Regions from separate parts of the Mus musculus genome. Here regions 1, 2, 3, 5, 6 and 7 are each reported to be linked to region 4. Evidence: microRNA targets listed by miRTarBase, many of them from high-throughput screens and not tested one by one. Region 4 holds a microRNA gene; each other region holds the end of a gene's coding sequence.

The links. The annotated mature microRNA mmu-miR-297a-5p reads AUGUAUGUGUGCAUGUGCAUGU and lies in region 4 at 2,797-2,818, shown strand. An mRNA with a match to its seed (bases 2 to 7 or 8) in the 3' UTR can be bound and repressed. Matches are read on the target gene's strand: a 7mer-m8 pairs with bases 2 to 8, a 7mer-A1 pairs with bases 2 to 7 and ends in A, and an 8mer does both.
Region 1: the mRNA of Fgf11 is a reported target of mmu-miR-297a-5p. Seed matches in the 3' UTR shown: 7mer-m8 at 1,350-1,356 and 7mer-A1 at 2,301-2,307.
Region 2: the mRNA of Ptprr is a reported target of mmu-miR-297a-5p. Seed matches in the 3' UTR shown: 7mer-A1 at 1,495-1,501.
Region 3: the mRNA of Insr is a reported target of mmu-miR-297a-5p. Seed matches in the 3' UTR shown: 7mer-A1 at 1,105-1,111.
Region 5: the mRNA of Tgs1 is a reported target of mmu-miR-297a-5p. The part of its 3' UTR that is shown has no 7-base or 8-base seed match.
Region 6: the mRNA of Tmem87b is a reported target of mmu-miR-297a-5p. Seed matches in the 3' UTR shown: 7mer-m8 at 1,289-1,295.
Region 7: miRTarBase lists Camta2 as a target of mmu-miR-297a-5p. Seed matches in the 3' UTR shown: 7mer-m8 at 3,053-3,059.

Annotation. Positions count from the first base shown.
Region 1 is chr11:69,794,418-69,798,471 of GRCm38, reverse strand. It overlaps Fgf11 (fibroblast growth factor 11), which reads left to right. Exons shown (of 5, transcript NM_001362623.1): 5 at 200-2,404. The coding sequence ends at 270. Chrnb1 (cholinergic receptor, nicotinic, beta polypeptide 1 (muscle)) reads left to right here and starts at 2,535. Exons shown (of 11, transcript NM_009601.4): 1 at 2,535-2,650; 2 at 2,738-2,877; 3 at 3,459-3,503. The coding sequence starts at 2,593.
Region 2 is chr10:116,273,024-116,277,090 of GRCm38, forward strand. It overlaps Ptprr (protein tyrosine phosphatase, receptor type, R), which reads left to right. Exons shown (of 14, transcript NM_011217.2): 14 at 710-1,906. The coding sequence ends at 803. It also overlaps a transcript of Ptprb not described here. Among named protein-coding and RNA genes, the nearest start is that of Ptprb, 26 kb to the right of the region's middle.
Region 3 is chr8:3,151,877-3,155,943 of GRCm38, forward strand. It overlaps Insr (insulin receptor), which reads right to left. Exons shown (of 21, transcript NM_010568.3): 21 at 1-4,067. The coding sequence ends at 3,793. Among named protein-coding and RNA genes, the nearest start is that of Gm30220, 63 kb to the left of the region's middle.
Region 4 is chr7:10,957,228-10,961,294 of GRCm38, reverse strand. Mir297-1 (microRNA 297-1) reads left to right here and starts at 2,783; the gene lies at 2,783-2,858.
Region 5 is chr4:3,614,351-3,618,417 of GRCm38, reverse strand. Tgs1 (trimethylguanosine synthase 1) reads right to left here. Exons shown (of 13, transcript NM_054089.4): 13 at 1,794-3,559. The coding sequence ends at 3,413. Among named protein-coding and RNA genes, the nearest start is that of 2210414B05Rik, 40 kb to the left of the region's middle.
Region 6 is chr2:128,850,987-128,855,048 of GRCm38, reverse strand. Tmem87b (transmembrane protein 87B) reads right to left here. Exons shown (of 19, transcript NM_001355629.1): 19 at 788-3,765. The coding sequence ends at 3,706. Among named protein-coding and RNA genes, the nearest start is that of Fbln7, 11 kb to the left of the region's middle.
Region 7 is chr11:70,666,561-70,670,627 of GRCm38, forward strand. It overlaps Camta2 (calmodulin binding transcription activator 2), which reads right to left. Exons shown (of 23, transcript NM_001190376.1): 21 at 3,989-4,067; 22 at 3,786-3,860; 23 at 2,903-3,702. The coding sequence ends at 3,639. Spag7 (sperm associated antigen 7) reads right to left here and starts at 2,856. Exons shown (of 7, transcript NM_172561.3): 1 at 2,637-2,856. The coding sequence starts at 2,721.

The sequences.
Region 1 (4,054 bases), not on the chromosome of region 4:
TGTTCAACAAGATGTTGTTATGGCAGATGGAGGCAGGAAGGCTTTGGCCTTTGGGGGGTTAGGAAGCTCTCTTCTTTTGGGTTGGGGTTCTCTAAGGGTGAGTGTAAGAGAAGGGAGGCCTCTCAGAGCTCTGCTTCTTCCTGGCTCCCTATGTGCCTAATTCTCCTTCCTTGCTCCTCTCTCTCTCTCCCCTCCACAGTGGCCATGTACCGGGAGCCTTCTCTCCACAGTGTTCCTGAGACCTCCCCTTCCAGTCCCCCTGCCCACTGAGATATAGTCCCTGGACTGGAGGCTCCCTGCTCTTCCAGTGAGTCAGCCACCGCCACATCCTGTGTCCTAGCCCTGCGCCGGGCCTTGCCGCTCTCACCCCTGTTGCCACACACATGCCCTGAGCAGTCAGGTCTCAGCAGGTGCTGCACCCTGTGGGAGCTTCGGGGCTGTCAGGGACCTCCGGAGTTGCTGAGCTCTTAGATCCTGGGGCCCAGGAGAGGTCCCAAGATGGGGGTGCCTGAGATGACCCTGCCTGATCACTTCTCTTTTTTCCACACTAATTCCTACCCCTTAAGAGAACACCCATTTTTTTTCCTAAAAGGCACCGGGGTTCCAACACTCAAGGCAGGAAGGTAATACTCTTCACCCTGGCTGAGCCAGTCTCTGAAGCCATGTCCTTCTTTGCATCGTCTCGAAGCCATAGCTTTCTAGGTCGGTCCACTGGCACTCAGAATGCATCTCCTTCTCTCTCTGCTCTACCTTCTGACTTGGTCTGGACAGGTTCTGATAGAGCTGGTCACCCCAGCCAGGCAGGGCCATCCCTATGTTCTGTGTTGGAACCCAAGTATGTATCCTTTCCACGTCTATCCTTGTCCTAGATGGACACCTCCCACCCCTGGCTTTAAAAAAGAGGCCCCCTACTGTAGCAATTGGCCTTGGTCTGAATTGGGACCAGTCTCAGGTCACCACTGATTAAACCTTCTTATCCCAGAGACACCCAATTCTAGAACGTGGTATTCTAGACCTTTCTGGAGCCATACTTCCTCCTGAATCTCAGTTCTAGGACATAGCCCATGACTCTCAGCCCTTTCTTCCCGGATGGAGCTAGGGCCTGTATAGCCATATTATTGTACTAGAGTAAGTTCTAGACCTACCCTTCCACTTTCTCTAGCAATTAAAGGATGAGCTATGGGTAGAACTCAGCTATGATTAATTAAAAACTGATTGGCTCTGAGCTGTGCTTGGTGGCACACACCTGTAATTCAGCACCCGGGAGGCTGAATCAGACAGATCCTGAGTTGGAGGCCATCCTGGGCTACAATAGCAAAACCCTGTCTCAAAAGCCAATACACACACACACATACACACACACACACACACACACACACAGAGAGAGAGAGAGAGAAAGAGAGAGAGAGAGAGAGAGAGAGAGAGAACTAATCAGTACTGAACGGATCAAGAACCACTTCTTGCTTTTCCTAAATAATTTTCTAAAAATAGTCCCTCCAGAATACTAACCTTACTTTTACATGGTTTCTAGTTTCAGCATTCCAACTAGGGTTCTGCCAGGGAGACAAGAGTCTGGGGAAAGATACAGGAATTCTGGAAGAATATACCTGGCTCCTAGAAGGGAAGCTGAGAGGGAGAAAATGCCATGGTATGATTGAACCTGTGTCTGAACACTTAGCTACCTCAGCAGGAATTCCTTCCAGATCCCTTTTAAAGCTGAGGACTTTCGTTCTGATATGGTATGCTGCATCTGTGAGGTAAAGGAGAGGAGGAGAATCAGGAAATAAAAGGCTAGCCTGGGCTACCTAGTGAGGTCAGGGCCAGCCTAGGCTATGTGAGACCCTGTCTCAAACAACAGGAAGCTAAGGTCTACAATGAGAATAACTCTAGAATTAAAAAGGACAAATAGGGACACAGCCTTGACTCCCCCTCACAGCAGAGAGACCCCCAACTCAGCAATAAGTTCAACTTCTCCGAGCCCTCTACAGGTCAGGCTTAGGAAACGAGGAGCCTCTTGGGCTCCCAGACCTCATATGTATCCCCAGAGCTTCTAACTAAATAGAATTTACTTTACTTTACAGCTTTTAAACCTCAGGTGGGTTCTAAGTACCCAAAAAGGACCTGAAAAACGGAGAAAGCCATGGGGAACCTCTAGTAAAATAGGAGGTAGATTCTGAGTCTAGCAGATGTAGGTGGAAACGTCTATTGAGGTCCTAAGGGAGGGGCTAGTGCTCAAAGACAGGTCACTTTTCCTCAGGCCCTTTTACTTCTGGCTTGTTGCAAGAGATGCCCCCCTCCCTCATACAAACCCCGCTCAGGCTCCGCCCATCTCCTGGCACTGCTCTCAGGGGACGGGGTCTCCACTTCATGCTTTCTGTAATTAAAGATGATTTATACAACCGGAGTGTTATCTGACATTTGTGAGTGGAGGGCGACTGCAGTTGCTCCGGGCGGGACCAAGTCCCGAGGGCGGGGCGGGTGGGCTGGCGTCTGGTCCCCCGACAACAGGTGCACATTCCTGGGCGCCTCGTCACTTCCCCTGGCCTGAGGCCGCTATCCGGACAAACTTCACTGAGCGAAAGAGGCAGGGCCATGGCCTTAGGGGCGCTGCTTCTGCTTCTAGGGGTACTCGGGACGCCCCTCGCCCCAGGTAAGTCAGTTTGGGTCTCCAAGAGGCAGTGATGAGCAATGGTCACGGCCAGCCCCGGGAGCGTCACTTAGTGCTTTCCTTCGTCAGGCGCCCGCGGGTCGGAAGCCGAAGGCCAACTGATTAAGAAACTTTTCTCCAACTATGATAGCTCGGTGAGGCCGGCGCGGGAGGTGGGAGACCGCGTCGGGGTCAGCATCGGCCTCACCCTGGCGCAACTCATCAGCCTGGTGAGAGCGGCACTGCGGGTGGAGTCGCTGGGCAGGACCGACTGGGGGCGTGGCTTTAGACGCTGCCCAGAAGATCGACAGCCTGGGGGCGGGCGGGTTATGCTAAGAGGCAGACAAGCCTTTGGCGGTGATTGGGTAAAAATCAGACCAATGAACTAGTTCATGGGCGAGGCCTCTATGATAGGTACAGAATACTGTTCTGCTAACTCGCCTGTGGGCGGGTTTTGAGGCGGAGCTGGGGCAGAAGGACCTGCTACCGGGAGGACCTCGAGGCGGGGCTGTGTAATATTCTAGCAAAGTCCAGCAGAGCTTGGTACCTAAGCAGTCAATAAACAACTCTGAGCGGAGATTCAGAGTTGTATCCATTAGACGCCGGGCGTGGCCCGTGACTTAACCTCGACGTAAAAGAAAGGAAAGCAGGCACCAAGGCTGGTGTTTCGAGATTGATATGAGATGGAGTTTGCACCCAAGAAGGTGCAATTTAGAGAAAGGGACTAGAGATTCCATGGAGAAAGTAACTCACCGAACCCTCGTTTCCACCCACTTCATTTCACTTCTGCCTTTTAACTTTTCCATTCTAGAACGAGAAGGATGAAGAAATGAGCACAAAGGTGTACTTAGACCTGGTATGGAGACCTCGTGGGTTAGGGAAAGGCACCCTGTTTCCTTTATATTAATCTCCTGGAGTCCTCATCCCAGTAAGATTTTTTTTTAATAGTAACTCACAACGTACACATATAATAACTGAAACAGAATTTTCGATCAACAAATTTAAGATACAAGTTTGGGGATCACTAATTTGAATTCCCATCCTTGAAAGATCCTGAACTGCATGCAGGTTGAACATCACTTTAGGGTGGCTAGTTCAATCTCTTCAGTTATTTCTTAAATTATTCTATTTTTATTTTATGTGAATGGGTGTTTTGCTTGCATATGTCTGTGAAGCACATGCATAACTGGTGTCCGTGGAAGCCAGAAGAGGGCCCCTGTTCTCCTGGAACTAGAGTTACAGATGTTTGGGCCTTCCACGTAGGTGCTCGGAATCTATTTTGGGTCCTCTGGAAGAGTAGCCAGTGCCCTTAACCAATGAGGTATCTCTTTAGGCCCCTTCTTCGGTTTGAGACTGAAAAAAGAGAGTTCAGTCCAGGGCTCGGGACTGGGCGGAGGAAACCAGTTG
Region 2 (4,067 bases), not on the chromosome of region 4:
TATGACTGAGTATATGTATATATGTGTGTATATATATGAATAGAGAGAGAGAGTCATGTGTTGCTTAATTATGGAGAGGTGGTCTCAAAAATGTATCATTAGACAGCTTCATTGTTATGTGAACATTATATAGTCTACATGTAAAAACCCGGATAGCATGACCTACCACACAACTAGATGACGTGCTATATGTACAGCATTTCCTGCTTCTCTCAAAGCCACCAGGAACCAATGGAAGCACAGGAGAAGATGGCACTGTCAAGAGGTGCAATAGCTATGAGATGCACGCAGTGGCTGCTAGCCTTACATGGCATACAGTTGTCCAGTCAACCCTTAACACTGAAATCAGAGTACATGCTAAGTCACACTAAGAAGCATAGTAAATACCAATGCTATCAACAAAGTTAGCATGATCCATTCCAAGGAAATGTACAGTAATTACAGCTGCCACCAGGTAGGCTCGTTCACACCAGCATCATCGTTATCGCTAACCTGTGCATAACGCACCATGATACAGCATTGGTGCACAGCATGGGACTGCACTAACATATTAACTTCGCCAGCCAGGATGGTAAAAAGGGTAGAAAAAAAATTCACTAGATCAGCTATTCTGCCTGTTTGGCATAAGACTCATTCTAGCGTCATGTTTCGGTTACAGTATTATAAGGTGTCAGCAAAACTGAGTGATTTTATAATCTCTTCCATGCAGGGGTGGTATGGTCCAAACCAGCGAGCAGTATGAATTTGTGCACCATGCTCTGTGCCTGTTCGAGAGCAGACTTTCACCAGAAACTGTCGAGTGACTCCGAAGATTTACCAGAGTGTCAATCTCTCACCGGGTGATTCATCAAATTACCTACCAAGAGCTCCAAGAGGGGCTCCCTGCAATGGACGAGGAGGCTCTAAAGCCAGCCTAAGGCACTGATTGTGGAAGATCTGGCAACATGAAAGATTGCCAGCCTTTGTGTATAGGACTGCGTTCGTAGGCATCCCCCCAGTTATTCTGAAGGTCCTGTGCTGATGGAGGCATGACAGTCCTCTCGCAGCCTGAGGAGGGTTTTGTTCTGTCTGTGTCGCCTCTCCGCCGCACAGAATCGATGTGTGTGATATTCAGAGACTGGAGGAGCTGCTGACATTATCCTGTGTTTAGATGCTTTAATGTTCATAAAGCCTGTCTTGTGACTGGACTGTCAGCTGTCCAACTGTCCCTGTTGTAAGTGCTATTAACTATCTCAGTTACCAGAATCTTGCTGCTCAAGTTTCGAGTGATCGACAATGGATTTTTAACCAAGACATTTTTGTTTTTGGAAAAAAAAAAAAAATCAAATGCAGTGACTATTTTATATGGACATGTGTCTTGATTATATCTATTAAGTGTGCATTTATAGTATCTCCTATGGATCAATTACAGAGCACAATGACTGTCGTTGGATATATATGTATATGTATATGTATATTATATGTATATGTACACATATATATTCTATTATTAGGCATACAAGTGGCTCCTGTTCCACAATACTAACTACTATATTTCTACATTGTGACTTGTTTTACTTTAAAAGGGGATAAACAAATTTATAGCAACTATAAAGTATCAATAATTTTAAATACTCATCTCTCTTTTACTAAGAAGGGATTTTTAAATATGGTGTCTACCTGGTATCTCTCTCCCAATAAGAAGCAGGTGCCTTTGGGGAATGCTCCAACCTGTTTCATCCCCAAAAGTTTTTCCGAGGACACTGTCATGCACGACCTCACATTTCTAAAAGACCTCCTTCCTCAAGAGACAAATGAAGGCAAAATAATCACACTCAGCAAACAGGAGATGTTCTGCTCAGATATGAATTTTCAATGCAGCAAAGCTGACTTTCTTTCGTACTCCCAATAAATGACTCTTAACAGTAAATACTGAGTGAAGCCTCTTCTTTACTTACTCCCGGTAAACTGAAGGAGGTAATAGGACGGATTTAATTTTAGTCTTTTCCTCAGGGCGGGAGATGACTCTCTCCAATTGCAATCTTGTAATCACTTGAGAGATAATGATCTCAGAGCTCCATCATTATGTGGTTTTCCTTATGGACGCCAGCATCTCATTATACAAACAGTACATGTTTATGTCTTTATATCACTTGTCACAGACCCCATAAATTACATGGCTTACGTAGATGGGGCAGAATCGTATCACCTGAAAAGAAGCCGTGATGCAGGAAGACTCAATTATCTACCATTACGATTCCCTTTCTCCATCTTGAGGTTAAGACATAAGCATGTGCCAGAGGGGTGGCAGGGGTGACTTTCTGGGGTTTGTTCTGGCTCCCGGAGGCTGGCTCTACATTTTAAAAAGAGATGGACATTATCCCTCCTTTCTAAGGAAACAGACAAAAGGACACTGGTGTAAAACTTCCCCCCCAAACAATTCAATTGGAGGAAGTGTGTCACTGACTTTCCCCCTCTCCGTGAAGCACGTTTCCTTCCTACTCTTTGCCTCTCTTATCTGGGAGAAATTTTTTTTTTCCCCAAAGCGAAGCATGAACCGTTGTTAAGTGGAAAATGGAGGCTGAGTTTTACATGACGATTCTAACCTGCTTGATCCTCGGGAGCTTGGGTGAGTGGGGCTACCTCAGTTCCCTGAGACATCTCTCTCAAAGTTTGCCAGGGAAGCTGGTAGCCTTTGGGAAGGTATCTGAAAGAAATCAGAATAGGAGCCGGGTCTCCATGGCTCGAGAGCCAAAGCTGATGAGAAGGGGGTTGGGGGGATAAAAGGAGACAGCTCTGGCCACACTTCTGAGATTTCTCTCTAGAAGAAAATAAATGTTTACAGAGTGCCTGGGACAGCTCAACTCCTGAAAGGATGGGTCTTGGAGCGAGGGACCCTGAGCAGACATCTTTTATTATTTTCACATAACAGTCTATATAAGCACTCTGTTCCTTGTTCTAATCAAGTTATAGCTTTACTTTCTTGCACTTTAAGAAAAATATATACGTAAGGAACGTGACTAAAGGGAAGAAGGAAATGTGTTTTATTTGGAAGTTGTCATTTGGAGGGATTGAATATTTCCAAGGGAATGCTAGGTTGCTTAGGTTAAAACTAATTGATGTCTGAGCCTGAATATTTTACTTTTTACTGTGAATGTTTAAAAACTGGGCATTTGGTCTTTAAGGAGTACTGATATATATATATATATATATATATATATATATATTAATGTGTTAGTATTTGGTGGAAAACTGTAGACATTGTCACAAAATCGATGCTTCTCTGTAATAAGGAACTTAGCCTCTGGTAATCAGGAACTTAGCCTCTGGTAATCAATCAATACTTTCGTTGTTTGCCACCAGCCACAAGTTTGGGCTAGGGAATTCCCTTGTATTTTTTATCTTTTAATAAATGTGTCCAATTTTAACTGTTTATTCAAACTATGCAACTCATAAACAAATATTTACTTCCTCTGTGAGCTGTGGCTGAGAGGGAGGTATATCTCTCTTCTATGTAATGGAAAAGGGCTAAATATGAAGAGAACCAAATGGCTAAAAGGGATCAAGCCTTATATTGACTTTGATGACTTTGATAAGGCACACACACACTCTCTATATTTGTCTTTCCTCATCCAATGAAAAGCCATAATCTTTGGATGACTTTGTTTCTTTTCCAAGATTCCTTTCATTTTTCCAGTGGGGTATATGTTCCTACTAGATTGTATAAAACGTTCACAGAGGAGTACTTCATATGATATCTTGACATTTTCCATTGTCAGCCTGGAGATAGTCCATTGTTTCTTGGTTTTGCTTGTTTAAGTGATGGGTTGATTGGTTGGTTTGGGAGGCTGTTTTTGGTTGGGTGGTTGCTTGCTTGATTGGTTGAGTTTGGGGGATGTTTGGTTTGGGTTGGTTGGGTTGGGTTGGGTTGGTTTGGGTTGGGTTGGGATGGGTTGGGTTGGGTTGGGTTGGGGGTGGGGGGGTATTTGCTTATCTGTTTGACTTAGGATTTTAAGTCATGTGAGCTAAATCTGAGACTGTTCACTTGCCACGCTAGAAAGGTCAAAATATAAATCAGCCTGGTGTTT
Region 3 (4,067 bases), not on the chromosome of region 4:
AATAATCACTGTGCATGGTAGAACGTCTGTCCTGATAAGATAGTAAGGATAGTTTTTACTTGTGTTGGTGGCACCACACCCAGCTGCCACACAATACAGTTCAGCTCTTCCTGCCAATCTCCACTCTCCCAAACTGTGCTCAGCCTAAATCCAGAAAGCCATCAAGGCTCTTCCCTTCAAGCTAGCATCAAATGACAGGGAAACATTTAGAAAGGCTCCAAGTACATGAACATCTCCTGATGTATGCTTGACATCATTGAACCAGACAACATGTCTGCTGCTATCCTGGAAGAAATAACTGCATTTCATCATGATCATGAAAGTAGTTTTAAAATGATGAGACATCTCCCAAAACTCAACAAGAAATATCAATGTAACTTGCTTTTGTTTCTATTTTCTTTTCTCTCTCTCTTTCATCCATCACTACGAACTCCCAGGATAGCCATGATTTTCTAGATCTCACAAAGCTAACATCTTCTGAAACCAAAATGAGTCTCATGACCCAATAGCTACTTGTTTCCTTCCCAGCAACAGTAGATATCAACATGGAATTAGTGGAGTCCTTTTTGGTAGGGTCACCCAAGTTGGTGCACCTTTCCAGAAAAGATGGAAAAGAGTAAAATTTTAAGGACAGTGTTCTAAAGTGAAATAATATGTCAAAGCTTGAAACTAGGAGCCATGCTGGCCCCGCCTTGATTTCCAGAGTTCTCAAGATTGCACAAGGCCAAACAGTGTCAGCTTGAAGTCAACCCAACCCCAGCATAGGGTTCCTATCTTATTGTTTAAGATATGTTCAGGAAACTGATAGGTTTCATAGCAGGATTTCTCCAAATACCCTTGCATCAGCTATTTGTGTAAGAGGTGCCCACAAACAGCCTCATGGGTCTAAACAGGGTGAGAAATCATGGTCAGAAAACCCAGATTCCCTTTGCATTCATGTCCGGGGGATTTCATGTGACTTCTGAAGGTACTGGCTCACAGCCTCATCAGTAAAAGGAACACCCACTTTTCAAAGACCTCAGATCAGGGGCCTCCAAAGAGCTAAATCATGATGACTTGAAGTGTGGCTTGTGTGTGAGGAGTGTGCAATCAACAGATGGGTTTTTGTATGGAGAATATACTCTGAAGAATATCACCAACAAGAAGACTTTGGGTTCACAGGAAGGCTCTAACTTTTTAATCTAAACTCTCTCCTTCAAAGTTCTCCCTAGTCCCTGGCATTTAAAAATCAAATGGTACACAGCTCCCCAACTCAGAGAATGATTCAGCCAGAATCTTGAAGCCTCAACATCTGTTACTGAACCACATCCTAATAAGACACTGAGGTAGACTGTACTGAGAAGAAGGAAAAAAAAAATGACCCACACTCACCTGTTTTTATTTCTCCTTGATAAAAAAAAAATTTACATTCATAACATTTTTTTACAAAAGTGATTTTCAAGAGTGATCTTATATATTAAAATAAATACTTTCCCCGGTACTATAAGAAAACCTTTTGAAGTAGAAAGGTGTGAAAATTTCTGCTAGTATAGCATCACTACAAATTTACTGTGAAAAGGAAAAATAAACAAAAAATATCCATACCTACGGTGTCTTCCATTGATGCACAGACCTTCTATTTACAAAGTGTTTTGGGTAAAAGTAACTGTAACTCTTGATGCTTATGCCAATCATTGAGTTCCCTGGCAACATTTTTACATGCTGCAATTTTTATAATATAAATTCCACAGCAATTGACAACCAGGATTTATGTTTCCTTGTGTTCTTAATCAGGGTGGCCAGTGTGTCTTTATCTCATATCTCCTAAGGGAGAAGAAAGGCATCAAATATTTGTGGGAAATGCACGCAGGAAAGAACCTCTGGGAGGATTTTGAGTTCACCATAGTTGTTTCTTTTACTTGAGCAGCTGTGGTTTTATGCAAAGAGAAGTTGTGAGTTCACATCCTTTCACGAGTTCTTGGTGGTGAGAAGAAAGTCTCTGATGTTTTCTCCTCCAGACTTTAGTCTCTAGAGACTCAAACATAAGCACCTGAGAAATAAACTCAGGCACTATATCTGGCCCAAGCTGAGGTCCCTGGACGCCAAGAGCAGCTGTGGGAGTTTAGTGTAGAGAATAGCCAGATGCCCCAAAGGTGGAGGAGACCAGCGGGGATCGGAAGGGTACATCTCCTTACATATTGCTTAGTGTTCTCAAAGTCCATCTGTGTCATTGGTCTTCGGGATCTGAGTTTAGTATGTTTATACAATGATTGAGCAAAGTGTAGGCCTTGAAGAAGTGAGGTACACAAGCAGAGAAAAACCAGATGAACACAGGTGTTCTGGAAGGCCATCTCAGCTCCAGGTAACCACCAGTGTATCCAAGCAAGAAACATCCAGTCAATGTTACTATCTGAAACAGTCGAATATCCAGTTACCCACAGACTCCACAAGAACTCCCCGAGTCCTAAAGGGCTAGCAGCTAATGTGGTATAATTCCCAGAAAAATATGTGTTTCAAAGACCAAACCCAGAGGCCACTCACATATTGTCCTGTGTCCCCACACAGGCAGATGTGCCCACCACTGCTCCCAAAGAAATACTAACTTATTAGGCTCATACCAGAGATTCCATAAGCTTTAAATATGTTACAAATATATTCTCAAAATTGTTGCCTTACTTCCTTCTAGTGTGTGTGTGTGTGTGTGTGTGTGTGTGTGTGTGTGTGTGTGTGTCCCCTTTGCTTTGTTTGGTCTTCCAAAGATCCTCAAAGAATCCAGACCAAATAATCCTCCCTCTGTTTTCGGAAAACATCATCAAAGGGAAGGGGAAGAAGACACCTGAGCAAGACTTCTGATGTGACTGAGAAGACTCTCTCGAGGGCACAGACTCTCAGTTCATGAGAAGGAAGAGGACAATATGAGGTCACCCACTCCAAGCAGCAGGAGCTTCGGGAGCCAATTCACCAAGCATCAGTCCAGAGACTATTTTACACAGCACCCCACCCCCACCCCACCCCACCCCACCCTGTGATCTCTAACCTGGACACAACATACACACAAATGCACACAGGTGTGCAGATGAGCACACACTTAGGAATACACACCCTTTCCCAAAATAAAATATGAAAGCAGCAGCTATTGGTCAATTTGAGGAACTGATTTTGTGAATGAGGAAAAAAAGTAAAATAAAATAAAATAAAATCCTTCTCTTAGATTAATGAAACCTTCTCAAAGCCCAACCCTGCAGAGCATATAATTCTAGAGCCAGGCTCTGTAGGTCAGGTTTGGTTTTTGTTTTGTTTTGTTCTGTTTTCTGTCTGTTTCTTCTTTGCTTTCTGACTTGTGCTCCATAAATAGTCTGTCTTTGACAACTAACTGTAACTCAGACACTAACGGGGAAAAAAAAGAAAGAAAAGAAAAGAAAAGAAAAGAAAAGAAAAGAAAAGAAAAGAAAAGAAAAGAAAAGAAAAGAAGAAAAATATCTGTAAAAAAGCAGGTACATTCTTCCAATCTATGGGGAAAAGAACACCACCAACAACAAAATCTTGGTTTGATACGGTGGAGGCAGGGAAGGGAGCATGGACAGCCCAACCCCTCTAGGTTCACAGTTAGCCCTCCACAGGCTTACAGGGTTGGCGATCACGCTTGTGTGTTTTCAGGTCAAAAGACAAACAGAAATGTGTATGAACTATCTCTGAGCTCAGTTTCACATCTGGGCAGAGTCCTGATAATCCTGAGTTTCCTGGAGGCAGTCAAACTACAGAAGAGTTTTAAAAAAGAAAGAAAGAAAAGAATCCTTCCCGGAGAAGGCGCTGTTAGGAAGGGTTTGACCTTGGCAGGGTAAGGACACGTCCGTTCTTCTTGCCCCCATTCATGTGGGTATAGGGGATGTGTTCATCATAGGTCCGTTTGATGCTCAGTGAGGACCCTCCCTCCCGGCCCCCAGCCTCTTCTCTCTGACAGTGAGAGGAACGATCCAACGGGACATTCTCCATGTCTTCAAACTCCATCTCCAGCTCCTCACTCTCAGGAGCCTTGTTCTCCTCGCTGTAGAAGAAGGAAACTTCTGGAAAGCTGGGGTGGAGGTCAT
Region 4 (4,067 bases):
TGCACGTGGGAGGGCTTTGTGCTGGTCCTAGTGACTAATGGCCACATCCCTCTCTGCTGAGGGTAGGGGGTGGTGGTGTGGGAGGCTGTAGCTACCTGACAGGAACCAGGGACCCAGGAGGCATGACTGAACATCTGCCATTCCATGTAGGCAGAAGTTACCACTCATCTGGTCACCAGGCTTCCAGACCTCTGCTTGACTGGGGACCAAGTGCACAGCCCACCACCCCACAACTTCCTCTGAGGCTGGTGTGACACCTGAAATGTAAGTCAAACTCTTAAAGAGGGGTGACAGTTGGATGGTGAAAGGAGAAGAAATCTCTAGTTTGCTGTGTTGTTTCTTTCTCACAAAAGCCTGAGGTGTTGCTTTGTTTTTTTTTATTTGTTTGTTTGTTTTTAAGGTTATTATTAAATTCCATTTTAATTGTGTGTGTGGGTACATGGAAGAGGATGTTGAACACCCCCAGAGCTGGAGTGGGGTTTGTGGGCCATGTAATATGGGCGCTGAGAAACAGACTCAGGTCTTCAGCAAGAACAGCCATTCTCATGACCACTGAATCATCTCTCCAGCCCATGTTTTATTTTATTTTTAAGTATAATAGTTTGACAGCTCACATAGCTTAGGCTGACATCATATATTACAGGATGAACTCTATGTACCCATTGCTAACCATAAACTCATAATCCTGCTTCTATCTTGTAATTGTTGGGAAGACGGATGTGTATGCCCGATCACATCATCACATTCAGCTGGGACTCAAGTTTCCCTAGTGATTGTTAATACATCAACCCCCTACAACAAATGTCACCGCTTTGAGGAGAAGCCGTATATTTATATAGTATTTGTTAAAAAGAAAAACAGTGAAAGTCAAACAGCAATTTAAAATAAACTAGGGTTTGTGATGACAAAGTACAGAGAGAAACTTGAGAAAGAACCTTGTCTTGGCCCCAATACCTTCTCTACATGGATAAATCTTCAAGTGCTTTTTGTTTGTTTGTTTGTTTATAAGACAGTGTTTCTCTGTGTAACAGCCCTGGCTGTCCTAGAACTCACTCTGTAGATCAGGCTGGCCTCAAACTCATAGAGATCTGCCTGCTTCTGCCTTCTGAGTGCTGGGATTATCGGTGTGCACCACCATGCCCAGCAATATTCAAGTGTTTTAACTTACAAATACTTTCAATGTTAACATTTGCTTATTTATTTATATTTTTGTTTTGTAAATGATTTATATATTTATTATGTATAATAATATATCTGTATTTCATGTATTACATACATGAAAAAGTATGTGCTGCCCAATATCCCCAGTGCTATTGAACAGAAACAGAATAACACTGGGTCCCCGTTCCAAGTACAGTGAGAGATCCTGCCTGGGGAAAAAGCAGAGAATGATAGAGCAGGCCGCTCAGTGTCCTTTCTGCTCTCTTCCTGTACATAAGCTCATGCATCTGCGTGTGTCATATATACTGTTGCACACCTCACAATATATATACAATATACATATCTGTAGCTGTCTTCAGACACACCAGAAAAGTGCATCAGATCTCATTTCAGATGTTTGTGAGCCACCATTTGGTTGCTAGGATTTGAACTCAGGACCTCTGGAAGAGCAGTCAGTACTCTTAACCGCTGAGCTATCTCTCCAGTTCCAAAGTTAACATTTGTTACTGTGACAATAAATGGCCCTGTGAAATGCTGTCTCTTTCCATAGCAAGGGAGAAGCAATTTCTAATCTCTTCTTTGTTCGTGTTAATTTAGGTCTATGAGGCACATAGTCCTTCCTGTATCATGAAATATGGATAATATAAGATTACAGAGTCACGTTGCCCCACTTTCATGGATCTGAGTTTCTCCATGGAGAAGGAACAATTGGTTTCCTCTAGGAAGGCCCCCTGCAGCAAGAGCAAGCTAGAAAATCTGCTCCCCATGTTTTGTGCAGTCGTCTTTTTATGCAGACTTTGTCCCAGATGGCTCTTTCCACTTCCACGCTGGAAAGCTGGGTTTCTCTGCAATACTTGATAATGGATTATTTCACTGTCTTTGTGTTTTGCAATGTAGTTTTACAAGGTAGTTCTGGGTAGTCTAGAACTTACTAGATAGCTCATGCTGGCCTCGAGTTTTACAGTCTTTCTTCTGTCTTCAGCTGAGATATATACCACCATGCTACGAGGGCTTTAGTTTTAATCATGCAGACTTTTTCGCTTTGATATTAAATTTAAAAAAAAATCTACTACATATTTCCTGGTGGCTCAGTGGGTAAGAGCACTTGTTGCACAAGCTAGGGACTTGTGTCCAGCTTCCCAACACCCACATGAAAAAGTATGTGCTGCCCAATATCCCCAGTGCTATTGAACAGAAACAGAAGAACACTGGGGCCCCATTCTAAGTACAGTGAGAGATCCTGCCTGGGGAAAAAGCAGAGAATGATAGAGCAGGCCACTCAGTGTCCTTTCTGCTCTCTTCCTGTACATAAGCTCATGCATCTTTGTGTGTCATATATACTGTTGCACACCTCACAATTTAATCATTTTGGCTAAAGTGATTTTGTTTTTTGGTGGAGATCTCATGTAGGCCTGGATGAACCCCAAACTCCTGACCCTCCTACTTCAATTTCTCAAGTGCATGCATGTGCAAAAGCTAATTGATTTGTTTTTGAGAAAGGGTATCACTATGAAGCTGACTAGTCTGGAACTTGCTATGTAGAATTGCCTGGCCACAGTCTCACAGAGGTGGCATTAACAGCATGTCCCACCATGCCAGGCCCTAGAGCTAAATTTAAAGAATATGTATGTATGTATGTATGTGTGCATGTGCATGTGCATGTATGCATATTGCATGTATATATTATGCATACATGTATGTATTTGCTTGTGTTTGTATGTGTACTACAGCATGCAGGTGCTTCAAGATGATCAAGAGGATGTTGGTTTCTCTGAAGTAGAGTTAAAGATGGTTTTAGCCACCTGATGTCAGTACAGGATATGGAACCCAGGTGCTTCGAAGAGAGCAGCCAATGTTCTGAACCACAAAGCCATCCATCTCTCCAGTGCCCAGCTAAATTGTCAACGGGACTGCTTATGTTTCTTCCTTTGGGGCAGAATAAAGAGATGGACCTGACAAACCCTTTTAGCTACTGAATCAATTTAAGGTATTCACTCTAGTCAATTTGGAGGTTGTTCAGCATACATAATTATTTGTTTGAGACAGGGTCTACCCATGTAACTCTGGCTGGATGGGAATTCATTGTGTAAATTAGACTAATCTATATATTTTCTACAATCCTGCCATTAAGCTTGGAGCTCTAGGGTTTCTTGTGCCCTCTTCTGGCTAATGAGAGCACTGCATTTGTGTGTACAGATCCATACACAAGCTCCCACAGTATATGCATAATAAAAAATGAAATAAAATCTGGATCAGGAGAGATGACTCATTAGTTAAAGCATTGGCTGCTCTTCTAGAAGACCTTTGTTCAACTTACAGCACTCAAAGTAACTCACAATTATTTTTGACTCCAGTTTTAGGGGACACATGCTCTCTTCTATCCTCTACATGTGCCAGGCATGCAGGTGCTGAACAGACATACAAAAATGCAGGAAAACACCCATGTGCAATCAACCAATCTATTTTTAATTAAAAATTTTTGACAGGAGTGCTGATATACTCCTTTAATCCCAGTGTGGACACTATGCCCCTCCTTAGATTTGGGAACAAAACACCCATGGAAGGAGTTACAGAGACAAAGTTTGGAGCTGAGATGAAAGGATGGACAATGTAGAGACTGCCATATCCAGGGATCCACCCCATAATCAGCATCCAAACGCTGACACCATTGCATACACTAGCAAGATTTTATTGAAAGGACCCAGATGTAGCTGTCTCTTGTGAGACTATGCCGGGGCCTAGCAAACACAGAAGTGGATGCTCACAGTCAGCTAATGGATGGATCATAGGGCTCCCAATGGAGGAGCTAGAGAAAGTAGCCAAGGAGCTAAAGGGATCTGCAACCCTATAGGTGGAACAACATTATGAACTAACCAGTACCCCGGAGCTCTTGACTCTAGCTGCAT
Region 5 (4,067 bases), not on the chromosome of region 4:
TAAGATGAGATACGCTTCTCTAAGCTTCTTCTCCAAGCTGGTTTTGGTTAGTGCTTTATTGCAGAAATAAGAACACTGAGAATTGCTTTTATCTGCTGAGCTACTTCGTGACTTTATTGTGTTTTTGTTTGTAATTTATGCATCTCCTAGTTTGGATATAATTTCTGGTTTTGTCTGAGGCTCGTTTGCTCTGGAGGGCTTAGTCTCCAGGACCATTCATTGAGAAAACTAGTGTAACAGTGGCTGTATCAACCTATACAAGATACAGGAATACACTTACTATCAAGTAAAGTCAACTAACATAGAACCAACTACTAAAAATGCAGTGTACTATGAAGTGAAAAAATAGTAAACATCAGGTTAAAAATGAAAGTAGCAAATGAATGAGATAAAGGAATAGGACCAGGGGAAACTAGAGCACAGTCTGGGGTGGGGGAAGCCAGCCAATCAGAGGATCTGTACAGGAAGAGCTGTTTTCATACTTTCAAAATCTGCCAAGTGTTCATCACCTTGCTGGTGGGAGGCAGCTGTGATGCCAAGTCTTCCACTGGGGTTTTGCAGTTTATCTTTAGTAGCACTGAACCTCATGGCAGGTAGCTGGCTCTAGAAGCTGGCCTACTGCAGTCTTCTGGCCCAGTGTCCTAGTTAGGGTGACTATTGCTATGATGATACACTATGACCAGGAGCAAATTGGTTAGAAAAGGGTTTATTTGGCTTACATTGCCACGTGCACACCATCACTGAAGGAAATCAGAGCAAAAATGCAAGAACTGCAGGAGGAACCTAGCAGGTGATGCTTTAGCCATGGAGGGCTGCTTACTGCCTTGTTCATCGTTCTTTGACCACCAGCCCAGGGATGGCCTCAAACACAATGGGCTGGTGGTCACATCAATCACTAACATCCCACAGGCCTGCATAAAGCCTGATCTTATTAAGACATTCTCAGTTGAAGCTCCCTCATCTCCAAGTGACTCTTGCTTGTGTCAACTGTTACAAAACTAGCCAGGACACTCAGCTACTGAACTCTTTATTATCTTAATTTATTATTTGATGATGTCTGCTTTCAGGTATTGGTGAGGCTACCTCTCCCTGCTCTCTGAAGTGTAGGCACTCTTGCTCTACATATGTCTCTCTCCAGATTGTCTCGCAGCCTGAGATGGCGAACAGCTGAATCAGATATGCTAAGTTGATTGTTCCATGTACTCAGTTTTACACAGTGGGTTTCCTCTCCAGATGGCATCTGAGTGCTGGAAAGTGAACTTAGGTCCTCTGCATGAACAGTACTCACTCTTAACCACAGAGTCATCTCTTCAGTTCTAGGAAACCCTTCTCAATGCTAAACTGTTCTGCAGCCGCAACTGGATCTAAATGGGCTTTCCTCATTTTGGTTCACAGTTGGAATTGTTTTCAACAATTTCCATCTGCCTCACACTCTTGCTGTACATTTCTGAATGGCTTCCCTTGTTTCTGTCTTTGGAATATAGTCCATTAACCTTAACCTGATATTCCTGCTTTATTGGTTCACATGGAGGCACACTGTAGACTGCAATCTTTAACAAAACATTAAAAACATTACCTTCTATATTACATTATTTCATACATGACTAAGTAAAAGGTTGTGTGCTGGAGAGTTAAGAACCCACACATTTTAGGGACTCACATCCACTTGTAACTTCTATTCCAGGAGATCTGACACCCTCTTCTGGCTCCTGAGGGCATCTGTATAGGTAGCACTCGCACATACACACAAAGCTTTAAAAATAAATCTGGTTAAAGCAAAAAATAAAACAAAATTTGAGATAAGCCTAAAAGCAAGTTCAATTTTATTGAAGCAATTTAGTCTTTTTATCGAGACTGAAATGTACAAAAGCCCAGTGGTGTAACTTCTAGAAACTTACCAACTGAAATACTTGTTCAACAGCAAATATTGTAAGGAAAGACAGTGCATAAACAGTTGGTAACGATAAAACCATAAAAACAGCTTGGGTGCCTCTCAGTAGGGAACTAGTTTATATATATAGATGATGGAATACAAAATAGCCATTTAAAACACGAGGTAGATTGACATGTATGAACTGAAATAGAATGGCTTTCAAGATACTCTGATAAGCCAGGTGCAGTAGGTGGAGCCAGAAGGGTTAGGAGCTCAAAGTCACTCTGAGTTACACACAAAGTATGAGGCCAGCCTGGGTATACAAAAAAACAAAACAAGACAAAACAAAACAATAACAACAAAACCATACCAAAACAGAAAAGCAAAAACACTGATTAAAAAGCCCATCTTGGGCTGGAGAGAGAACTTACTTCCACTTCCAGAGGACCCAAGTGCATTTCCCAGTACCCACATTTGACAGCTCATAACCATCTGTAACTCCAGCTATAAGGAATCCAACACTCTTCCCTGGACTTGGGTCAAAGTAGGCGCACACACATGCACACACGCACATCTCTCTTGCGCACAAACACATTCTCTCTCTCACAAAAGCAATTATTTCATATACTATACATTAAGTATCCACAAAGGGAAGGCAATGAACGCACAGTGAGTGCATCAATGGAGAAGTGCACCGGGGTACACTGTTATACTGCGATCTTTTCTTCAGAAGAATTAAGAGGGGACCAATGGGTTGGCTCAGTAGGTAAAGGCTCTGGTTATAAAGTCTAATGACTTTAACTTGATTCCCAGGAACCCACATGGTGTAAGTAGAGAATGGACTCTAGCAAGTTGTCCTCTGACCTCTACACACACGCATGCATGCACATATAGACAAAATAAAAATGTAATAAAAAAGTTAAAAAGCAAAGTCCTGCTAACTGTGATTAGCTTTAGATAGCTGAAAAGAAGGTAGGTTAGGTGGTGGGAGTTTTACTTTTTCTGTGTTAGCATTAAATTGGTAACATTATTTCAATAGGGATTACACGTGTAGGTAGAATTGCTTTGTTTTTCTTTATATTTTAAAAAACTAATAATTACTTACACAGACACAAAGATGTTAAGCTAAAACAGTTAAAGAATGAAAACAAATACATATACAGATGTACTTAATTTAAGCACAGGGATATGCCTAGACTTTTTATGATTTTTTTCTTTTTTGTGGCAAGATCTCATGTAGCTCAGGCCAGCCTTGATTTGTTAGGAAGCACAGCATGAGCTTGAACTCATGATCTTTCTGAAGTGCTGGGATTGCAGGCACCACTATCACCTTGCCCTGATGCTGTTTTAAAGTGTACAACACAGATCCATTACCATTACCTAAAGATCTCAAACCACTTCATTAGCATCCTTTAAAACTCGGAGTTTTCCACATCACATGTGCACACAGTATTAAAGAACCTAGGAAGGCCTTCCTCCTGTCTCTCACTTGAATGTCATACATCCTCACTCCACATGATCTCTCTGTGCTTTACAGTATCACACTTCCGCTTCAGAAGTGCTGGTCTTCAGAAGTGCTGGTCTTCTGATCAGGTCACCAAAGTATGCAGTGATGGTCTTTAACTTGTTGTTAAGAAAGTTCTGTTCTATTTCCACTTGTCCTCCAAGCCCAGCCAAGGATGCCACCTGCCAGGAAAAGCACATACACAAGTCATGCACATGAGCGGGATCTCTCTCTCCCTCTCTCTCCCCTCCCCCTCCATCCTTCCTCCCTTTTGGCATGGTCTCATTAAATAGCTCTGGCTGGCCCACTCCTTATGTAGACCAGATTGTCCTCAAACTCATCCTGCCCCTGCTTCCTAAGATTAAACATACCCATTACCATGCTGAACACAGACTTTCAAAAGAGACCCCATCCCCTAACCTACACCATCAATAGAGGAAGACCCCATCTCTAACCTATACCATCAATAGAGGAAGACCCCATCCCTAACCTATACCATCAATAGAGGAAGACCCCATCTCTAACCTATACCATCAATAGAGGAAGACCCCATCTCTAACCTATACCATCAATAGAGGAAGACCCCATCTCTAACCTATACCATCAATAGAGGAAGACCCCATCTCTAACCTACACCATCAATAGAGGAAGACCCCATCTCTAACCTACACCATCAATAGAGGAAGACCC
Region 6 (4,062 bases), not on the chromosome of region 4:
GTGAGCTGCCACGTGGGTGTTGGAAAAAACCCAGATCCTCTGCAAGAGTAAGTGCTCTCAACTGCTGAGCATCTTTCCAGCCCATGGATATTTTTCTGAAGGGCTGGACCTGGCTGTGATCACATGGTAGCTGAACCTCAATGGTAGCCCAGGCTGTGGGCCATTCAACAATTTGCTGTTCAGTCCTGTTTTGCTTCCCATAGGTGTACAAAGTCTCACACGTGCCCCTCTTCAGGCTTCATATATGTTCTTTCCTGGTGTCACAAATTCTTCACTTTAACTCAAAAGCGGCAACCATTGCATAAGAAGCGGACAAGCCACAACTCACTCATTCTTCTTGTCTGGTGCGGCCATTCACTCGCTGTTTCTAGTTTTAGTGTGTGTGTGTGCAGAAACCTTGCTCTGTATTTTGAAAGATCTTTAAAAACATTGAGAGAGCTGGCATTATCAACAGTCCTAAACATAGTCGGACTTTTCACAAAGACTGAGTCAATGGTGTCACCATGAATGATGCTCTCATTTCATCACTGAGAGCTGACAGACAGACAGACAGACAGAGACACACACAGACACACACTAATACATACAAAAACAGTCAGGAGGCCACGTTTAGGCTAGCCTGGGTTGTAAATGACACGTTCTACTGTACCACACCTGAGGCTGGACTTCTTTCTGACTTTGAGCTACACCTCTCCTTTAAAGAACTCTATCTCGTGCCATCTCCTGAGTCCACATCCCCTATGGATTTTCATGAGGCAGCACTAACAGATAATCCCAGGAAACAATCTCCAAATGTCAGAAAGCAATTTATTAAAAAACCAAATATTAAGGCACAAAAATACAAAATTTCAAACAAAATTCCTTTAAATTGCTGTGTTCTATAGTCAAAGAAATTTCTTCCAAATTATAATTTAACTTTTTAAAATAGAGAATCTATTTTTAACCTCTAAACTTTCTCCCCAAGGAAATGAATGTTTCCCTAATTCTGAAGAAGCTTCTAAGTACAGTATTGAGTCCCCGCCCTGGAGTCCCCGTCCTGGAGTACACACTTCCTTAAAACTCTAGTATTGTCACTTAAATATATTTATATGTTCAGAATTTTATATATTAAACTTCTTTCTGATAGACGTAAGGCTTGGTGTTTTATATTGCTTACTGCATGCTGTCAACCATACAAAGACACAAATATCAGAACGAGAGACAAAACGTAGCATGATCTCTCTCAGCTTCAGTCATATACAGCCAGGGCAATAGCTCCAAACCTTCAAGAGGGTATAAAAATCAACTCTGTATGTATACTTTAAGCTTAATCTTGACATAGTAGTATAAACATGATGTACCGTGATACAGGTGGCACTCTGCACAGGACAGATTAAAAACAAAACCCAAAAAAGCAAACAAACAAACAAAAAACAGGAAATGCATGGGAGTATCCTACCAACTCCCAAGCTTACAATTTCCACCTCCTGTTTCTTACTGAAATGTAATAAATACCCCCAAAGGCAGATTTTTAAATATTAACCTAATTCAAAGCACGAAAAAAATGTCTCAAGCAAACTTCATATGCCTCCAAATCTAACATGAACTGTATAACAAGAAGTCTTGAATACAACTGGAGCCTGATCCTTAGTGTTCTCAATTACCAGAGCCATCCTACAGCAGCATCCTGAACGGAGGCTGAGCTGAGCACCTGTGAGGTCCCAGTGTGGTCTGCAGACTTGGGGCAGACGGGGAAGGAGCCTGAGGAGCTGCACGGAGGTCCTGGGTGCACCTCCCGTCCTTGTCAGCTACAGTGGCAGCACAGGGACACATGCTGGGGCTAAGAAGGGCCCCGAGAAACACTCACTTTAGGGCACTGAACATTAGCACCTGGCAGTTATCAGTAAATGCAACAGACACCACACACATGCTTGCAAAAACACTTGTAAGGAGGTTAAGATGGAAGTCCACTTTCTCTGGACAGAGAGTCATTTCAGTCTGGAGCTACACCAGAGGCAGCATCATTTGTCTTCCCTGCTTTTTAGAAATCCCATTGAGGTGGTGTCAGAAGCATTTCCCCAGCCATCAACTGCAGACTCACCCTGCTCAATGTGTAGCTCCTGCTGGCTCTAAGCAGAAATACTCAAGTGCAGACCTGTGGGTTGAGAGTCAGCTACTTCATGCTGTGAGGACAGGGTACTAAAAACGTGAAGCAGGCCATGGTAGTGCATGCCTAGAGTCTTAGCAAGAGGTTCGCAAGCCCATCCTCAGCCAGAGCTATACAGTGACACCCTGCAATGCTCCTCCCCGTGCAAGACATCCCCAGTTTTCACAGAGCTGGGTTACAAGGTGGACTATGACAAACCTAAAACGGACACGCAACTATAGAAATATGTCACTACCAACCCTTTTGAAACGAGTACGCAGGAAATAAACTCAGAAAGTAGGCATTTGAAAGAAAACCTTTTGTTTTGTGGTGCCACAGTGAAAAAATCATCATAGGCTATGGATAGTGCTCTTCCTTGTCATTTTCATGTTTTCTCAATTATCCCAAGTTATTCTAACTCACAGGGCAGAAGTCCTCCAGAGAAGGCATACAAGACCCTGCCTGTCATTACCACATTACATGTCCAACAGCCTGGTATCTTTGGTCACGAACGTGGCAAAACGTTCACATTTTCATCACTCTACATTCAAGTGCCTTTCAAGTCTAGAACATTCTATATTCAAAAAATATTAGAATAGAAACTTTCAATCATACATTATAAACATAATTTAACAACAAGGTGTAAGATATGGTTGAGAGCTGGTTAAGTACATGTTGATGCATGGTAAGGTTAGATGTTTGTATATCTCACAAGTCTCCACAAGGCTCACAAGAAACAGTGCACCGGGGCTGAGATAAAGTGCTGTAGGGGAGTCACATGGCCAGGTTCACAGCAGAAGTAGCAGCAGCACGTGTACCTGTGGCCTGCAAGTCTTTGGACATACCCTCAAGACGTCTCTCTTTGCCCATACGTGTTCCCGAGCTCAGACTCCGTGATGTGTAGTGCATGGTGGTATTTACAAACAAGAGCTTTGTGTACACCAATGAAAGGGACAAGATTAAATATATGAACATGCTCGAGTTCCAATATTGTCACTTCAGTATAAAAAAATCAAATAAAATTATCATTACAAAAGATGAACAGTGCTGTGTTAGCATTCAGGAGAATCACGTTATCTCGAAGGCGAGGGAAGGAATGCTCATAGATTCTTCTCTTTCCTTTTCCTTTTTGGTTTTTGTTTTTTTTGAGGCAGGGTCTCACTATGTAGCTCTCTCTGGTTGTCCCAGAACTATGTAGACCAGGCGTGGTTTTGAATTTACCAGTAGTGTGCCGCCAGCCCAGCTACAGATTCGTTTGTCCAGAGAAAACTGAGACACACAACATGGCATGCCTGTGGCTGCCGCCTAAGAGGCATCTGAGCACATGTTGTTAACTTCTTAAATTGTTTCCAAATCAGGCAACTTAATGGCCATGAAACTGACTGTCTAAGTTAGTTTTAAAGATGGCTTTCTGAGGGTGGCAGACCCTCCCACTCCTGAATTCTTCATCTGCATACACAGATCTCCAAGACAACAAAGGGAAACACGTATCATAGTGAAGCTGTCAGTTTTGATGAGAGCCAGGCTTTTCCCATCACCTGACTGTGCTCCTGCACACACCGGACCCACTGGGGCCCTGATCACATTATCTTTTCTGAAGAGAACATTTTTTCAGCTATTTCAGATCTGGTCATAATTTCCTGGAAAAAAAATAAGACAGGTGTCAAATGCTGGTGTTAGCTCTAGAACCTACAAAAATGTTCTAACAAGTCACTATTTAATCTTTTTAATAGACCTAAATTTAGGGAAGTATTAGATAAAAACCATGCTGCCACTCCCCAGCCCCTGCACCCCACTAATACAGTAGGTCAATTATTAGCAGAGACTGGAAAGGTCAGCTTCCTTCTACCTAGCAAATGAGTTTAGGTTCTCTGTGAGAGGCAGAACTGCAGCTAACAGGGACCTCATGTGACAAACTTGTCTCATGCTACTGCATC
Region 7 (4,067 bases), not on the chromosome of region 4:
AGAAATTGGTAAGGGAGAATGATCTAGTGTTGTGACAAGGCTGGCCATGTTGGGTTTGCTTGGGGGCTGGGGGTGGGGGTGGGGCCACTGAAGAAGAAATCTGGAACTCTGGTCTAGAAAGCCCATTGAGTGCTTTTCAATCACGCGCCTCCTCATAGCAGCAGGAACCCTAAGACATTGACCTTTTCTTTGGAGGCAGAGGTGTCCAAAGTTAGCCATAAATAAACTCTCCTCTTTTACCGAATGCTCCTCCCCTCTCTCAGATCCTGCCTTTGTACCAGATCATCCCGTCTGCCCTTGGGGGACAGCTGCAACCCCAGGGATATACCTAGACATGAGCTCTGGCACTGAGCCGCAACCCCAACTATAAGCAATACGGGGCTGTCCGCTCTCTCTCCCTACTCCCAGCTTTGAGACTTCCAGGCAGACCTGAAACTCACTATGGAGTCCATGCTGGCCTCAAACTTACAGATATGCTAGCCGAGGACTGACAAATGTGGTGTTGAGACTTGAACCTAGGGTCTTCCATATGCTAAGTGTTTCACCGCTGACTGAGAAACATTCCCAGCCACCAGACTACCTTTTTTCCTTAGATTTATTTTTATTATCTTAACTATGCATATTCGTCTATGTATGAATCCGAGTGCCCACAGAGATCTGAGATGTCAGATTCCCCCCAGGAGCTGGGGTTACAGGCAGTTGTAAGGAACCTGATGTGGAGTCTGCAAATCTAACTCAGGTTCCCAGGAAGAGCAGTCTGTCCTCTTAACCGTGAGCCATCTCTCCAGCCCGCTCAGCTACTTTTAACCTGGTTCCTTATCCTGCCTGTCGCTTCCCATGGTAGGGGGTTGCTGCCTCTTGTGATTGGGCACACATCTTCCTCCTGTTCCTCAGCTTCAAATGTCCCTTCCCCTTTCTTTTGGTGTTTCAAAATCCAAGCTTGCTTCTTCCACAGGACTGAGTCCCCAAAGTGGCACTGAATTCTTCCTGTTTTCTAGTCACTCCATGCTTCTGCACGTGCTCCTTCTCTCTGGAATGCTCTTCCTCCTCTCACAGCAAACACTGAATCCTCACCGTGAGTCAAGACTTCCTCTACGCTCTAAGCACATTCACTGCTAAAGACGTGGGGTTTTTTGTTTTGTTTTTCCCCCTGTCTCCCTTACCAGGCTATGAGCTGCTGGAGGGTTGACCCTGCTCACCTGTCCAGTTAGACGTCAGAGTCCAAGACCTGACAAACTAGAAGCTCTCGTCTGTCTGACTTCACTATCTTGGCCTTTCATTGTGTTCTGATTGCTTTTCCAGTGTTTTCTGCATCTTGGGAGGTAGCATAAGAACACTGAGGCTACGAGCTCACATCTGGGTTCCAAATTCAGCTTAGTAACCTGAGACCCGAGGCAAGTGGCTAAAGCCTCCTATTCTGACGGCTGATGGGAGCACACCTATTACTCAGCTGAACATTAAGTAACTCTAACTCCTGTTTCCTATTAAGCTCTGCTTTCCCATAGCTTTCGAACAGACTGCACTCCCTTTACTGAGTTACCTATTCTTTGTTGCTCGGCTCATTTCAGACAAGCCTGGGACTCCCAATTAATCTTTCCTACACATGTATATTAATTGGTTATTAAAATTCCGTATGATCATTAATAAACGTCCCAGACATGGTCTATAATCTCCTTGATGAGCATCTTTGGCTTCACAAGTTTTGTAAATAAGGGAGTACAGATATTTAACAGTCTTTGAACATTCTGAAAGCATCCTGTCTTGCCTCCTTTGAGCAGATGGGTAGTAGGTGCGGGTAGGAGACTTATCCACGACCAAGGCTCACGTGGTTGGGAGCTGGATGCACCTAAGGCTATCCTTTCTATAAAGTCCTTCACATGCGCTCCAAGCCAATACAGGGCAGGCCACTTCGGGCCGCACCCTACCCTGGCTGCCAAACCCCAGCGAGCTTTCTGGTTAGCTACTCAGCGCGGGGGCTGGGAAGGAGAGATGGCGAATCGGAGCCTGCGGGGCATTCTCATCTCTCCAATCAACATCACGATCTAGTTGGGCAGCACAGGAATTTAAGGCTATAGTTAGGAAAGGGCGGTGGAAGGTATGAGGGACTGGGTCAACTCAAGAAGGGGCATAAAGATAGGAGGATCCAGCCAACCAATGGGAGGAGCTGAGGCTGAGGTCGGTCAGAAAAGGTAACACTTTAAAGGTAGAGCTTTTGGCTGAGCTAGCCAATAGAGGGGAACAGACGGGTGGATGGGCGTGCCCTAAACTCAATCGTAATAGAACTGGAGATTCGCGGGACCGAGGCGATGGATACGACATCCTCCAATCGGAAGAAAGGCATCCTACTAATCAGAGCTCACCAACAGCAGACAGGCAGGCCCGTTGACCAATCGCAAACAAGGACTGTAAAAGGCGAGGATAGGAAGAAGAGACTGGAGGTAGAAGGCAGGCTGAGGTAGCCAATCATTGTTTGCAAAAGACAGCGGGCGGGCCGACAGGCCTTTTAGGGACTCTGAGGGTCTCAGAAGTGGCCTGTGGGGGGTCTGTTAGGGTAGGAGGTGGCATTATTCAAAGAGGGAAGAGTGTGGTCCCAAGAATCGGGCGAAGATACGCGGTTGTGAATCTGGGATCCTCACCTCGGGCCTTGCGCCGACTCTCCTGGTCACCGAGGCTGGGTGGTTTCTCCATGGAGCTCAGGATGGAGCCCAGTAGGTCCGCCATCTTGGGAATGAGTGAGAGGGGGCGGTGCGTCTTAAAGGGAAGGACGAAATGCCTTTAAGGCCGGAAACACGTCGGAAGCGAAAAACCGCGCTGCTCCGCCCCGCTTAAGGCAGCGAGATGAGGCCGGCGACTTGCGTGGCGACCTTCCTACCCCGCCCCCAGCAGAGAGAGGCCGGAGGCTAGCTGGTGCAGAGACGTTTAATGGCAATTCGTATAAACCAAGCCCATGCACAAGTAGAAAGTGCTCGTGGAGCCAGCCGGGGGCTCCCGCCGCGCCAGGGAATCAGACGCCCGGCCGCGCAGCGCCTTAAATAGATTCTTCACTATACTCTGTATGTTACAGTTATGTACACACCCCTCCCCACGGGAGCGGGACTCCGCCTCGCGATCCTATGTACACCCCCTCCTCTTTGGCCCCTACGTGGGCGACCAGAGAGTCAGGGTGATGGGGAAGACAGGGCCAGGAAAGGAGGAAACAGACGCAAACATGCGGAGTCAAGGTGGGGGCAGTCACCCCTGAAACACGAGGGCGCGCGCAGCGAAGGCAGCGGTGGGGACCGAGGCGGATACATTCATCAGAGACTCTCGAACAAATAAATAAGGCAAGTCAGGAAGGTCCGAGTCAGGTGCAGGCAGGAACGGGGATATGGAGAAGGTGCAGGCAGGGCTCCGGAGGTCACAGCTGAAGATGCAGATATGTGGGGCGTGGGTCTTCTGGAGCCGGAGACCAAAAGAGGAGGCACAACCAGAAGGGAGGAAACGTGTAAGGCCTGGGGGCGGGGGTTCTACGAAGGGCTCCCAAAAAGGTGAAGGGGTGAAGAGCTGCCGACAGGGGGCTCCCCTAGTCCCGAAAGCCCTCTCCTTGTTTAGACAGCCAGAAGGGGCTCCCAGGGTTTTGAAGAAAGGCGTTGGAGAGGTCAGGTGGCCAGTCCTGGCTGGGGCAGCCCCTCCAGCTCCTGGTTCTGCTTCAGTTCCCTCATTCTGCGGAGAGACAGAGCCAAGTCAGAGGAGACTGATGGATCAGAAAAGGTGTCAGGGCAGAGAGGTAAGGATGGGGTTAGAACCTGTGTCGGCAGCGCCGCAGGAACCTCATTATTTTCCGGGCTGCCTGGTCTTGCTTCTTGGTGAGAAAGGTGCCCCTGGTGGGAAAGAAGAGTCCCCACTTTAAGACCATTGTAGGGAAAGGCTGGAGGGCCGATAGAGGTAGTGGGCATTAACAAAGAGGTAAACTGAGGGCTGTATAGGGGCAGGAAGGGGTGGTCCCTACTTGTTTCGAGCAGGAAGGGGGCCTGAGGGCCGGTGAGGAGGCCCCGGCCTGCGGCGGTAGGAGCGGTAGTGCTGCTGGA